Linked DNA regions of Mus musculus: all the other regions are reported to be linked to region 1. Evidence: microRNA targets listed by miRTarBase, many of them from high-throughput screens and not tested one by one. Region 1 holds a microRNA gene; each other region holds the end of a gene's coding sequence.
What was found. The annotated mature microRNA mmu-miR-451a reads AAACCGUUACCAUUACUGAGUU and lies in region 1 at 2,244-2,265, opposite strand. An mRNA with a match to its seed (bases 2 to 7 or 8) in the 3' UTR can be bound and repressed. Matches are read on the target gene's strand: a 7mer-m8 pairs with bases 2 to 8, a 7mer-A1 pairs with bases 2 to 7 and ends in A, and an 8mer does both.

Region 1 (3,138 bases):
TACTTCCAGGAGATCTTCATGTTATCAGCACTAAACAACAAGGATGTGAACACATTGAAGGTCAGTTAGCCTTGCCCATAATCCACCACTTCTACCATGTTACGATAGGCCTCATCCAGACCAGCCTGATATCCACCGAGATCCTGTCTTTTAAAAGACAAAACAAAACTCTGGCTCTGGTCATTTATGTTTGTAATCCCCGAATTTGAAAGGCCAAGGCAAGAGAATCAGGATTTCAAGGTCATTTTTAACCACATAGTGAATTCAAGAATAGCTTCAGTTACAATGAGACCCTGTCTCAGGAAACAGAAAACAGCCAGGGGTGGTGGCACACAGCTGTTATCCCAGCACTCAGGAGGCAGAGGTAGAAGGATTACTCAGTTTGAGGTCAACCTGGTTTCCATTGTGAGTTCTAGGCCAGCCAAGCAACATAGAGACCAGAAACAAAGTTAGGAATGTATCTCAGTTGGTAGAATGCTTGTCTCGTGTGCTGGATTCAGTATCTAGCCCCACATAAGCTGGACACACACGTGGGTGCACACCTGCTACTATAGCATTTAGGAGATAGAGACAGGAAGATTGGAGGCTCATTCCCAGCCTGGACAAACGAGGATGGACAAGGCCAGCTTGATCTGCCTGAGATGCTCTCTTAAAGGTGTTTCAGTCAGTTGTGGCAGCTCGCCCCTGTAGTCAGCTACTATGTAGTAATTTTAAGGTCAGCTTGGGCTACATGAGGATGGGTCATAGCCTTTTCCTCCTAGAAGCATGCATAAACAAATGTTCTGATGGGGGTTAAGAACCTACTCTTCCTTTGTTCCCACAGCAATACCTTCTGACACAGGCCCAGCCAGGACCCTGGGAGTTCCACAGTGGTGTGCTCACTAGCCAGACACCCGAAGAGATCTGTGCCAATAAAATCAGAGAGAAGCTCTTAGAGTACCTGCCTGAGGAGGTGCCCTACGGTGTGCAGCAGGTGTGGGCAGAGGAAAAGGACACAGTGCCTGTATACCAGGCACACCCCTGGAACAGTTGGGTACCAAGAGATACAGAGATGAGCCTGCCTGATTAGTCCTGATGTCTCCTTATACAGAAGACAGTGATATGGGAGGAAGGACCAAGTGGAGAGCTAGTGATCCAACAGAACCTTCTGGTGCCCAAAGAATCTCATGTGGTAAGTGAGGGATGCTCAGAGAAGGGTAGCAGTGTTACCCATGGCCTCTTCCCCATCTGTGAGGCCAAGAGCAGAACCATGTGCCTCTCTTTTCACTACTTGCAGAGGATCCTGATTGGTCAGAAGGGCCTCTTGATCTCCCAGATTGCACAGGAGGTGGGCCGGGACCTCATGGACATCTTCCACTGTGACGTTCTCATCCGCCTCTCTGTGAAACTCCTCAAATGACCATCCTCTGTTGCTTCTCCCAGTGGATCCCTGCTCAAGCTGCTGGCAGAGTCACTGACTAGAACTACCCCTGTCAGAGGGGTCTACAGGACTGGGAAGGGCCATGGACACTGACTGGTTTCCATTGTGAGGGACCCATAGCTACAGCTGCATATGTAGCAGAGGATGGCCTAGTCGGTCGGTCATCAATGGGAGGAGAGGCCCTTGGTCCTGTGAAGGTCCTGTGCCAGCCAGCCTGGCATTGCCGAGTCTGCACAGTGCTTGCCCAACCATGTTTCCACTTAGCTCAGTTCTCGGGGCGTTCCTCTGCCTAGGGTCTCAGTCAGTTGTATAGGATACATGCTGAACCACACCCTAGAACCCATGGTTCTAAGTCATGTCCACCCCGCTAGCATTGGAACCAAACTCTTGCCCTGAGTTTCCAGTTGTTGGTAGGAACACAATTTTTCTCTTCTCCCCCAAGTTCCTCACCTTGAAGTTGCATAAGGACCCGTGTTTCCTTTTTCTTTTATTATTATTATTATTTTTTTTTTTGAGACCGGGTTCTTACCCTACAACTCTGACTGGCTGGCTATCTCTACATAGATCAGGCTAGCTTTAAACTCACAAAGGTCCTCCCATCCCATCCAACCACCCAGCCTCGGATGCTAATAAAGTTAAATGACAAGTGCTCTTATTCTTATCTTTTATTTCTTTGGCACAGTGAAGAGGAAAATGTACCCTTTCCCCCAACCCCATTCTCTTGTCAGCCTGGGTGTCCTTTTCTTCCAGCAGTCTGCTCCAGGGTCATGAGCTCTTCTTGGCACAGTTTGTGGGAGCAGCAAGAGAACCGTTACCATTACTAAACTCAGTAATGGTAACGGTTTCCTCGCCATTCCCAAGTGCCACAGCTGTCAGCAGGCTTGATTAGGCCGAGCAGTGAGCCCGTGTACTTCTGCATCTCTGCTGCAAACCAGGCAGGCTCTGGAGGTGGGGTACCCAGACTAGTACATCATCTATACTGTAGTGTCTCATCACAAACTTACAGTATATGATGATATCCCAGCCAAGGTCCTGGAGGAGGAGGTGAGCAGCAGGCCTGGAGTGAGCCAGGGGATTGGCTCAGGGTCAGTCAGGGACACCTAAGTCCCTACCTCTGCTCCTCCACTTCCCTCCCAGAGCAGCATCTCCCTGATCCTGTGGTCCAGGATAACCCCAGGTGGCTTAGAGAAGGAAGCTAAGGTCTACTCGGGTCTCTTAGGGATCCAGAGTTACAGGCAGAAACGAAGTTGTGAGGCAGGAGCTTCCCTCTGGGCAGACCTATAAGCAGGCTGACAGCCACTCCAAGGACTGCTTACCTGGAGCTGGAGTGGAGCTGGAGCCTCGTCCAGGGAATCCTCTGCACAGGGAGAGCCTGCCTTGTCTCTTCTCACTCAAGCAGCTTGGCTTTTAACCCTCTGGCCCCTCCCCTGGGTGGGGCACGTTTTCCCGGGTTCTAGAAGTCCCTGCTTCTTAACTCTTTGCCTGCTGGCTTCCTGAGACAAGCTGAGGCTTGGCTCCCTTTTTGTTTATCTTCTGCTTAGTTTCCTGTGCTGGGAATGAAACTGAAGGCTGAAGATGCTAGCCAAGAACCCCAACACTGACACTACACCGCCACCCTGCCTCCCGTCTTCTAAGTGGGTGACCATTCACCCCCAACCCCACAAAGAAGGTTACCTGCCTACCCCACTGGGCTAGGAAAGAGAAAGACCCTCACCACG
Region 2 (3,138 bases), not on the chromosome of region 1:
GTCATATCTGCCTGTAACTCCAGTGCCAGGCAGTCCTCTGGCTTCCACAGGCATGCATACACAGAGAGACAAATGATATATATGGAGGTTTTTTTGTTTCTGTTTTTAAATTTGGGCGGGTGTGGGAAGAATCTGAAATGACTCAGTCTCTTTCCTTCCCCTTTTATTTTCTTCTCCCTCCCTTACCCCCTTTCTCTCCCTGTCTTTCTCCTATCTTTTTTTTTAACCTTTCAGAAAACCACGGCTTTTGGACCCTAAAAGGTCTGGATTGGTCATACTGCTTTCTGAAAGGTAAAAAAAGAAAAGAAAGAAAGAAATTGGGAGGTGTGAAGGTTGGTTTGGTGGGGACAGAGGGCTATCTTTAGTTTGGTACTTGTTTCTAGACCAGCTTGTACGTTGCCATGTGTGTTTCAGTTTAAAGTAACAGAACACACAGTTTGGTATTGTACCCTCAGAGGAAGTTTTTCAACTAGGAAGTAGCTGACCTCCTGTAACTGGGATGTACATCTGTAAAAATTAGATGTGGTACAGGGTGTGGTTGTACACACCTTTAATCCCAACAGTTGGGAGGCAGAGGCAGAAGAATTTCTGAATTCCAGGTCAGCCAGGGCAGTTACACAGAAAAACCCTGTCTCTTGGGGAGGCGGGGGGTGGGGGGGATAGGTATGGCCATCATTCTGTGTATGAGGGGGATTGGCTCCAAAATCCCTATAAATCCCAAAATCCATTCATGCTCAAGTCCCTAGATACTGTATTTACATAGAACCCATCATATCCTCTTACCTGTTTGTGGACGCTAGGGATTGAACATGGAGCTTCACTTATGCTCCACAAGCTAAGCTGTATCTAACCTGCAGATGACGTAATACAGCCATGCAGGGTGATAGTATGCAGATAGTTATTATAACCTGCAGATGACTTGTAATACAGCCATGCAGGGTGATAGTATGCAGATAGTTATTATAACCTGCAGATGATGTAATACAGCCATGCAGGGTGATAGTATGCAGATAGTGGTTAGACCCTAAAGAGCATAAGTACAAAGAGATTTCAACATGTTTCCTACACATGTAGACACATAAACACTCATGTGTAGTTTTTATCCACACCTGAAAAGATAAAGGGAATGAATGGACTATGTAGTAACTGCGTGTCTGAGAGGAAACAGAAGTCCCTGGCTACAAAGTAAACTTTGAGTTTAGGGTTGATCTCACTGGAACCTCCTTCAGAGCTAGTTTGTATTTCTTATTGGTTATGGTGTTTAATTTTCCCAGTTAAAATTGTTTTTCAAACTTATTTCAAATTTAAGAGTTTTGTTTTGTTTTTTAATTTTTATTAGCTTACAAAGATTTTTTTTTAAGGCCTGATCTTATATGGCTTAAAATGGCCTAGAGCTTGCTGTGTAACAAAGGATGACTGAATTTTTCTCTTGACTACATGTCCATAGAGGCATGCGCCACCACAACTTACATGATGGTGGAGATAAAGCCAAGGGCTTCCTGCATGCTAGGTTAAGGCTTGCGAAGTAAGGTACATCTTAACCCTTTAGGAGGAAGTATTTTGGGGAGGTAGAGATAAAGCTTAACAGTTCAGAGTGCTTGCTGCTCTTGCAGAAGACCCAAGTGTGGGTTCCAGTACTCGTATTGGGCTGCTCGGATCTCTTACACCACCTGTACCTCCAGCTCCAGGGACCCAGTACCTTCTCCTGGCCTCTGCGAAAACAGACATACACACAGATAATACAAGCGAAACAAGCTAAATATATTTTAAAGTTTGTTTTTTTTTTAAATATATTTCAAGTCCAATACTGCTTTCTCCTATCATGCAATTTTAGGGAGAAATACTACTTTACCTTCTGGATTGTTGTATTGCTTGGTAAAAGGTGTCAAAATTTAGGGATTTTATGAAACTTGTTTCAAAAGAGTTTTTGAGTGACCATGTGACAGCTCATGTAACTGTTGTGTTTATAATGTTGGGGCAACCAAAGGTAGTAAGGTCTCCCCGTATTGCAGAGTGGCGTGCCTGCTTGATAGGCCAGCCACTCCTGCAGCCTCTGCTGACTAGGACATACAGAGAGTAAGCAGAGAGTTGAATGTGGACATTAGAGCAGTGCTGCCCAAGAACCAGTAGGACAGTAGGACAGAAATTTTTTCTGTGAAATAAGAGGAAGGGTGTATTAAGGTAACAGAAGTAAACTTAAGCAGACTAAGGAAGAGCCATGGCTTGGAACATGAACTAATACGTCTTTTCCTTTTTAGAAAGACAACAAAGTTGCTGCATAGTCTACAAACAAGTCTTTGAAAATAGGTGACTCCTAGCTCTTCATGGTCCTGGAAAGTGCTTTCAGTCTTTGTGAAGAATGAAGAAGTGAAGTTGCTGTCTTGCCTGTCACCAGCACTGGGTTTTGTCTGTTTTCTGCTTCATTTCAAAGCTACACTGCAGTTGCTTTGGGGCAGGAAGGCTCGTCTTAAAACACAAGTATAAGTGTATGTGGAGTAGCAGATGGTTGTGATTCCTTGTTTAGAGTTGAACTAAAGCCAGCTAAATGGAACTGCTAAGTATTTTTTCATCACTGAAAGGATTTTCTTATCACTAATTAATTGTATTCGGCAATTACTTCCAATTGCCTGCAGATAGGCCGTGATACTGTGTTTTGAGCCACAGAAGGTTTTGTGCGTGTGTGTGTGTATGTATGTGTGTGTGCGCGCGCGCGTGTATGTGCGTGTCTTTTTCTTTTTGGAGATCCTATAATATGAGGTAGCTTATTTCGACACTTAATTAGGGTGCTGGATGGTAGAGAATTTTGTCAGTCAACTATGTACACACAGGTAAATACTGTTTCTTAGGCAAAGGTAACTTTTTTATATAGTTGTAAAATTCCATTATATTCCATTGCCAAAGAAACATTAAGAACTTTGTATAGCTGTATAAAAAGCAACTAATTTTTTAAAGAATAAACGTTTTAAAGTCAGCAAACATACGTGTCCTTGCAGAAGTCAGTGTGCTGAGGAGCAGGGATATGGGTGGGTCTTTCCCCTTGCTTTCCAGGCTTAAGGTTTTTGATTTCCTTTGTACTGTTTGGACTAAAGTGAAGATTTGATAACTTTATTCCATTATCTAAAAAGCATAAATTATTCA
Region 3 (3,138 bases), not on the chromosome of region 1:
GTGTGCTTGCCACTACCCAGTGAGTCTGTGGTTTTAATAAATATCTCCTAGCAGTGATATTAATTTACAGGTTATTAGTTTACTGTTTCTTAGTTGGTGTGAAAGTCAAGAGTGCTATACTATGTATCCCATGTTGACTGGCCATTGTATGTATTTTTTGTGCTGTGTGTAGAAGTGGTAAGGTGCTTTACAAAGGCACGCTTGCTCTATTTGAGAATGTAAATAAAACCAGTGTGCTTTGGAGAACTGGTTAGTAGTCTCACTTAGGTGCTGCTTAAACACTTGAGGGAGAAATAGATAATAAAACATTGAAATTCTTTCCACCCAGATGAGATTACAGAAGCCAAATCAGGGACTGCTACTCCACAGAGATCGGGATCCATCAGCAACTATCGATCTTGCCAAAGGAGTGACTCTGATGCCGAAGCTCAAGGAAAGCCCTCAGACGTCTCCCTTACCTCATCTGTCACCTCCCTCGACTCCTCCCCTGTCGACGTAGCTCCAAGACCAGGAAGTCATACAATAGAATTTTTTGAAATGTGTGCAAATCTAATTAAAATTCTTGCACAGTAAACCTAAAATTTTGCTTATTTCTTTGATGCAATAAGCATGCATAATAAATAATAGCCAAATACTTCCACTTACCAAGTTATATATATGTGTGTATATAACTGAGGATTGGCCTTTTGGAATGCAGTTTGCACAGGGACTGGAAAACGATTGATCGTTAAAAGCCTGATGTGCAGAATTGAATGAGGATCACTCTGTTATCCCGTATTCAGTAGGTACACACAGCGTAACACACACACAATGGACTGTAGGTCTCAAGCTTACTTGACTTTTGGCCATTTGAATTTGCTGTAACAGGTCTCAGTCGACCATAAATTTACCATAAAGCCTTCACATATTAGTACATGTTGATGTATTTTATATTAGCTTCATGAATTTATTGAGTTGCCTGGAATCCTCATAGACCTTATTAGATAATGCTGTTTTCTGGGCTCCTTAACTTCCAAAATAGCTACTAGTTTCCATTTTTGGTTACATTGTGAACTATTTCCATATTCCTCTTAACATGCTATTTTTGTGTAGTAAGTCATTTCAGAGAGCAGTCTGGATTTAACATTTTTCTTTGGCTTGTGAGCCCCCAAAGCCCCAGAATTTATATGTTCAGACCCTCCAAGCCCTGAATTTACTTTTTCAGGTTTGCCCTTTTATATATGAAGTGCTGCTTTGGATCCAAGAGCCGAGTTGCTCACACTGTAGTGAATCGTGTTGCTTCTGTCAGTGCACAGAGACGCTATCATGTCAGCCAGTGTTGAATGTCTTTGGTATTTTCTAAGCCAATCCAGTGCATAGAAAGGACAGTGTTTATACGCTCTGAATGCTAGGATTGGGGTTTTAGCCCCTGATTTTATTCTGGACAATTTTTAAAGAAAGAAAAGTTGCAAGAATTTAGTGACTGCATGTGTATTTACTACTTAGCTCCTACAACTACTGTTTGGCCATATTTGCTCTCTAGATCCACACATGTATAATATACAGATATGCACATATATTCGAGTATATGTTTGCTTTTATTCTGAACCACTGAGATGTTAAGGTATATATATATATATATATATACCAGCCCTGAATACTTCAGCACTTCCTAAAAATAATAATAATGTCCTTTAGAAACCTTCTGAAACCATTATAAAATCAATAATTTCCAGATAGTGCCTGGTTTTCCAGATTAGCTGTAACTGCCCAGAATTCCATTTAAGTTACAGCCTGATTTTATTTGCAGTTCTTTAATCAGGTTAATAACACTATTTTGAAAAGATGTAGAAGAAATCCTTTCTTCAAACTGGCCAAGTTTATTTCAGGTTTTAATTCAAAATAATGAGTGGCTAAAGAAGTGTGATTTTTCTTCAATCTCTGATTTATATGCCTCTCTCCTTTTAGTGGTAGCATAGCATAATGGGTGTAAGTGAAGATTTAAGTCACGCTAGACAAAGCCGGTATTGTGTGAGCTAATAATTAATGTCATATTGGCCATATTTGGTTTCCTTTAAGTTTAGGAAATTGGTCAGAGGCTCTAGCCCAGTGGTGAGGCTGGGTCATCTCCAGCAACGTGAAACAAAATGCATTTTCTTTAAACATTAACCATCCCCCCTTTGTAAGAGAGACTTTTCCCCCCACTGCATTCATTTAAAAATATTTTGCCCCATCCCCAAACCTGTCCAGCACTTATGTAAGAACGCATTTGGAGGACATGATAGCTTGCATAAAAGATGACGCTATAGTTTATGCACTGATTTCCGGACAAAAATGATGCTTCTTTTTGTTCGGGGCTTGTTTTATTCAACTCCGAATTGAATGCTGTATAAAGTAATGGAGACTCCATTTACCTGAGTTCCTGACTGTATTTATACCTGTGTGTTTGTGCCCTCTGTGTGGGGCTCCCTGATGTCACGTATGCTGTCTGAATGCAGCGCTGTATTCCCGCTGTGTAGAACAGAAGGCTGCATTTGTAAAGTTATAGATTTGTAAATAAAACTGAGGAATATCTCTATAAACTGTTGGGGGGACGGGGCACAAAAGGAGGAGCCAACTAAATAGGACCTTCTAAAATTTGTTAATTTTGTAATCTTTGCTTCTTTTATAAGTTATTCTGTGATTCCTTTTAGTTACCGAGTTTTATTTTGAAGACATTAAAATATTGCACTTGTATAAATAGTATGATAAATGCAGACTATTGCAGTCAAATTTTTTAAAAGCTAGGATATCTGAAATGACAACTTTCAGTTAAGTATGTCAAGCCCAGGACAGGATTTTCACAAATGTATTGTAGTTTGCAAATTCTTACACTGAAAATGTAAAGGGAGTCAATGCAAATGATTTTTAATCTTTTTTTTATTATCTTTTCAGCAATTTATATTTTCTTGTGATTTTATGCAACCATATTTTTACTTTGTCTTGACAACTGAAAGCTGTGTGATGTTTTTGACAGAAAAGTACTGTATACATAGTTTTAAATATAACAGATTTTGCTGATATGTAAAAATTTTGCCATTAAAGTTGATTTCTCATGAAAGGAACTTTTCTACCAAGTCGGGAGACGCAAGAGCTTAATATATCTAATTTAAAATAATT
Region 4 (3,138 bases), not on the chromosome of region 1:
GAACGTATAGGTGTGGTTTCAGAGGATGCCCTTCCGCCGGCCCCCAGCCAGGTTTTTTCGTGTGATATGAATTCCACGCCCGTCACGGCGCGAGTGTCGGAGATCAACCTTATGGAGTTGCTTCTCTCCTTCCACCCTTACGTACACTCAAGGGATTAAACTCCAATCTAAAAGTTTGCTCTACTACCAATTTATTGGCTATGCCATCTTGCTCCTTCACCCCCCACCCCGACCCATTTTACTTGACCTACAGTAGCCTGTGCTTCGAGCAGCTAGATTATGTGACCTTCAAGGCCTGCCCTCTCCCCCAAGCCGCTTCACATATTTGGAAACACCCTTAATTCGTCTCTCCACCCAGTCCTATCGTAACCGAACTAAGAGATCTGAGTTATTCCTGACTTGGTGATACCTAAAACCCAGGCTAGCAGCAGACAGGTTGCACAAGAAGGAACAGAAATCCACATATCCCTAAAGTTAATAGACAGGGACCATCAACAGGAGGCGGCCTGCACACATGCTCAAACTGTTACCCACACCAACATCTTCTAGCCTCCAGAGAAACAGTGAACATTTGTAGTTTAGCTCATGACCAAATTGTACTTAGGCTACCAGGAAAACAAGCATGACAGCTATGTTCTGGGTATTCCTTTTATCAAAGGTCCCAATAATAACAGTGTTTTGCATGGTGGGGCAGTCCCTGTGACAGGCTGAGAAGGGCCTGCTCAGATTTCTGTGCAACTATGCCTTCAAAGGCATATGGAGAACCTAAAGCTTAAAAAGTGAGGCGAGCTGAACATGGTAAGGAACACTTTTACTTGCGGGTGTGGGAGTACAGAGGCTCTTTTGATAATTCTAGGCCAGCTAGATATAGTGAGAACCCATTGAAAAGGAAAATAAAAAAATGAACATAAGGTGAGGTTAAGGGTTTCAAAGAGCAGAAATGCTCTATCTGCCTCGTGATTGGAGCATTAAGAGTACTTGCAGAAACAATATTAAATTGATAGTCAACCCTCAGATCTTAATTTTGACTCTAGGTGTCCATATGAATCATGTCTCTGTGACTTTTTCCTAATTAGAACTGTGGCCTACAACCATGGGACCAAGACATCATTTGTTTAAAGCCATCTCTAAGTACTGTTGAAGAGACAGCCCATTTTTTTACCTCTTAAGCGTTACTGGCAAAGTGGGGTTCCTTAAAAAGCACTTTCCTACAGCTGGGGCTTCAGTGGTAGAGTGCGTGTCTCGCATGCAGAGCTGAGTTTGATGTGCAACACCACCAAAACAAAAATACCCTTTCCTATCAAGATGAAAATGACCAAAGTAAGCCTAGTGGCATTCTAGCTTCCTTTGGATCTACAGATCATGAGCTCAGTATTCAGCCATAAAAAGTAGAGCGCCTAATGAATACCTAATGAACCCCAGACCAAAGTGCTGGCAAAGAGCAGAAAGGAGACTATTAGTAGACCTACCCTGGGCCTTGACAAACTCCTCAGGGTGAAGGATCAAAAGGATCCTCAAGGTACCTACCACCCATTAGTCTCTTAATCTTGACTCTAGGTGTTTAGCCAAGGTCTTGAGTTTAACTCAACACTATTAGTGCTCTTCAAAAGGCATAAATTCATGAAAGGATTTTGTTTCCACAGGTGAATTTCATTAATACAGCTTCATTAAGAGCTTGATCAAGCCTATGGAGCTGTGACAAGCTATCAGGATGATCTTAATCCACAGAGAATCTCTACTCTTGGATTAGGACCCTGGCCAGATAGGTCTGGCCATTCAACTTGATGATTCTCTTGCCCACCAGTGACTCTTTCTTCCCTTCTCCCCTGAAACTGGCTTAGTAAACAGCCTTAGTTCAATCAGTACAGGAAAAACACAGCAGACTCAATGAAAAGAAGAAATGAAAACACTTGACTTGACTGTTCCTAGATACGGTGGAGGTTTAGTGTAGATGAGGGAAGAGCATGCCAGAGGCATTTGGAAGGGTGAAATGAACAAGATCCTAACCCAGGCCATGTAAGGAGGTGACAGGAGGGAGGGAGTTACCTGGTTCAGCTGCCAAGTGGCCAAAAAGAGTTGTAACCAAAATGGATGGGTTATATAAGAATCAGAGAAGCTGAAAGAAAGGGAAGCCCAGGAGTTGAGGGTAAAGGTAAACGGTAGGGTATGACACCAGGAGGATCCTGGAACAGGTAGGGACTGAGGTATGTTGGGAGAACTGGCAGCCAACGTCAGCTCTGATATGCTGATAGGCACCTCAGATGAGACCTAACATTCAATACAACTTCTGGAACTCCGGAACTTCATGGGACCCTTAAGAAGGAATGCCCAACACAGAAAAGACAGCAGGTTTAACTACATTTAATGGAACATGCTGGACATGGTGTTGCATTGCCATTAATCTTAGCATGTGGGACACAGATCTATAAAGAGTTATACAATAAACATTTATAAACTTTCACAAACAACAACAGTTTGCAACCGTCTGAGGAATTGTAGAAGCAAGCAACTAAGAACAGCCACGTGGTGACAGCTGGAACTAGAGATTAGTACTTTGGTCTTTTCACTTCGACCCTGAAATCAAAAGAGAAGTAGATCAGCATAGGATCAGTATCCTGAACAGTTCTCACCAGGCCCAAAGACAAAGAGGGATGCCGCTTACCCATCTGCTTCCATCCTCTTCCTCTTCTCAATGATCTGTAAAAGGACAGCAGTAGTTTATACGCATGCTGTTAGTGATCTAAGTCCACCTAAAGCTCAAAGATGACCTCTCTCAGTTTCCATGACTGCTCCACCACCTATTCCTGGATCTGTCAATGTCTCTTCTCAACTGAAACCCTCCCACCTAAGAAAGAGTCCACTATGCCGGTGGTGACGCACGCCTTTAATCCAAATACTCAGGAGGCAGAGGCAGGCAGATTCCTGAGTTCAAGGACAGCTTGATCTACAGAGTGAGTTCCAGGACAGCCAAGACTACACACAGAAACCATCTCGAAAAAACAAAACAACAACAAAAAAGAAAGAAAAAAGGAAAGAAAGAGTCTACTAACTGCACTTATTTTCTTCCACTGTCGATCAAGCTCTGCCTTATCATTGGTTTCTTTGAATCGTCTGGTTTTCCGTCCTTCAGACATCTTG

Region 2: the mRNA of Lsm14a is a reported target of mmu-miR-451a. The part of its 3' UTR that is shown has no 7-base or 8-base seed match.
Region 3: the mRNA of Prkaa1 is a reported target of mmu-miR-451a. The part of its 3' UTR that is shown has no 7-base or 8-base seed match.
Region 4: the mRNA of Ik is a reported target of mmu-miR-451a. The part of its 3' UTR that is shown has no 7-base or 8-base seed match.

What each region holds. Positions count from the first base shown.
Region 1 is chr11:78,072,313-78,075,450 of GRCm38, reverse strand. It overlaps Mir451a (microRNA 451a), which reads right to left and starts at 2,281; the gene lies at 2,210-2,281. It overlaps Eral1 (Era (G-protein)-like 1 (E. coli)), which reads left to right. Exons shown (of 10, transcript NM_022313.2): 7 at 1-60; 8 at 824-973; 9 at 1,091-1,171; 10 at 1,277-2,075. The coding sequence ends at 1,399. Mir144 (microRNA 144) reads right to left here and starts at 2,446; the gene lies at 2,381-2,446. Mir451b (microRNA 451b) reads left to right here and starts at 2,210; the gene lies at 2,210-2,281.
Region 2 is chr7:34,345,079-34,348,216 of GRCm38, reverse strand. Lsm14a (LSM14A mRNA processing body assembly factor) reads left to right here. Exons shown (of 11, transcript NM_025948.3): 10 at 235-291; 11 at 2,259-3,138. The coding sequence ends at 258. Among named protein-coding and RNA genes, the nearest start is that of Garre1, 33 kb to the right of the region's middle.
Region 3 is chr15:5,178,360-5,181,497 of GRCm38, forward strand. It overlaps Prkaa1 (protein kinase, AMP-activated, alpha 1 catalytic subunit), which reads left to right. Exons shown (of 9, transcript NM_001013367.3): 9 at 329-3,138. The coding sequence ends at 573. Among named protein-coding and RNA genes, the nearest start is that of Ttc33, 5.6 kb to the right of the region's middle.
Region 4 is chr18:36,756,843-36,759,980 of GRCm38, reverse strand. It overlaps Ik (IK cytokine), which reads right to left. Exons shown (of 20, transcript NM_011879.2): 18 at 3,051-3,138; 19 at 2,663-2,697; 20 at 2,342-2,574. The coding sequence ends at 2,547. Among named protein-coding and RNA genes, the nearest start is that of Wdr55, 1.8 kb to the left of the region's middle.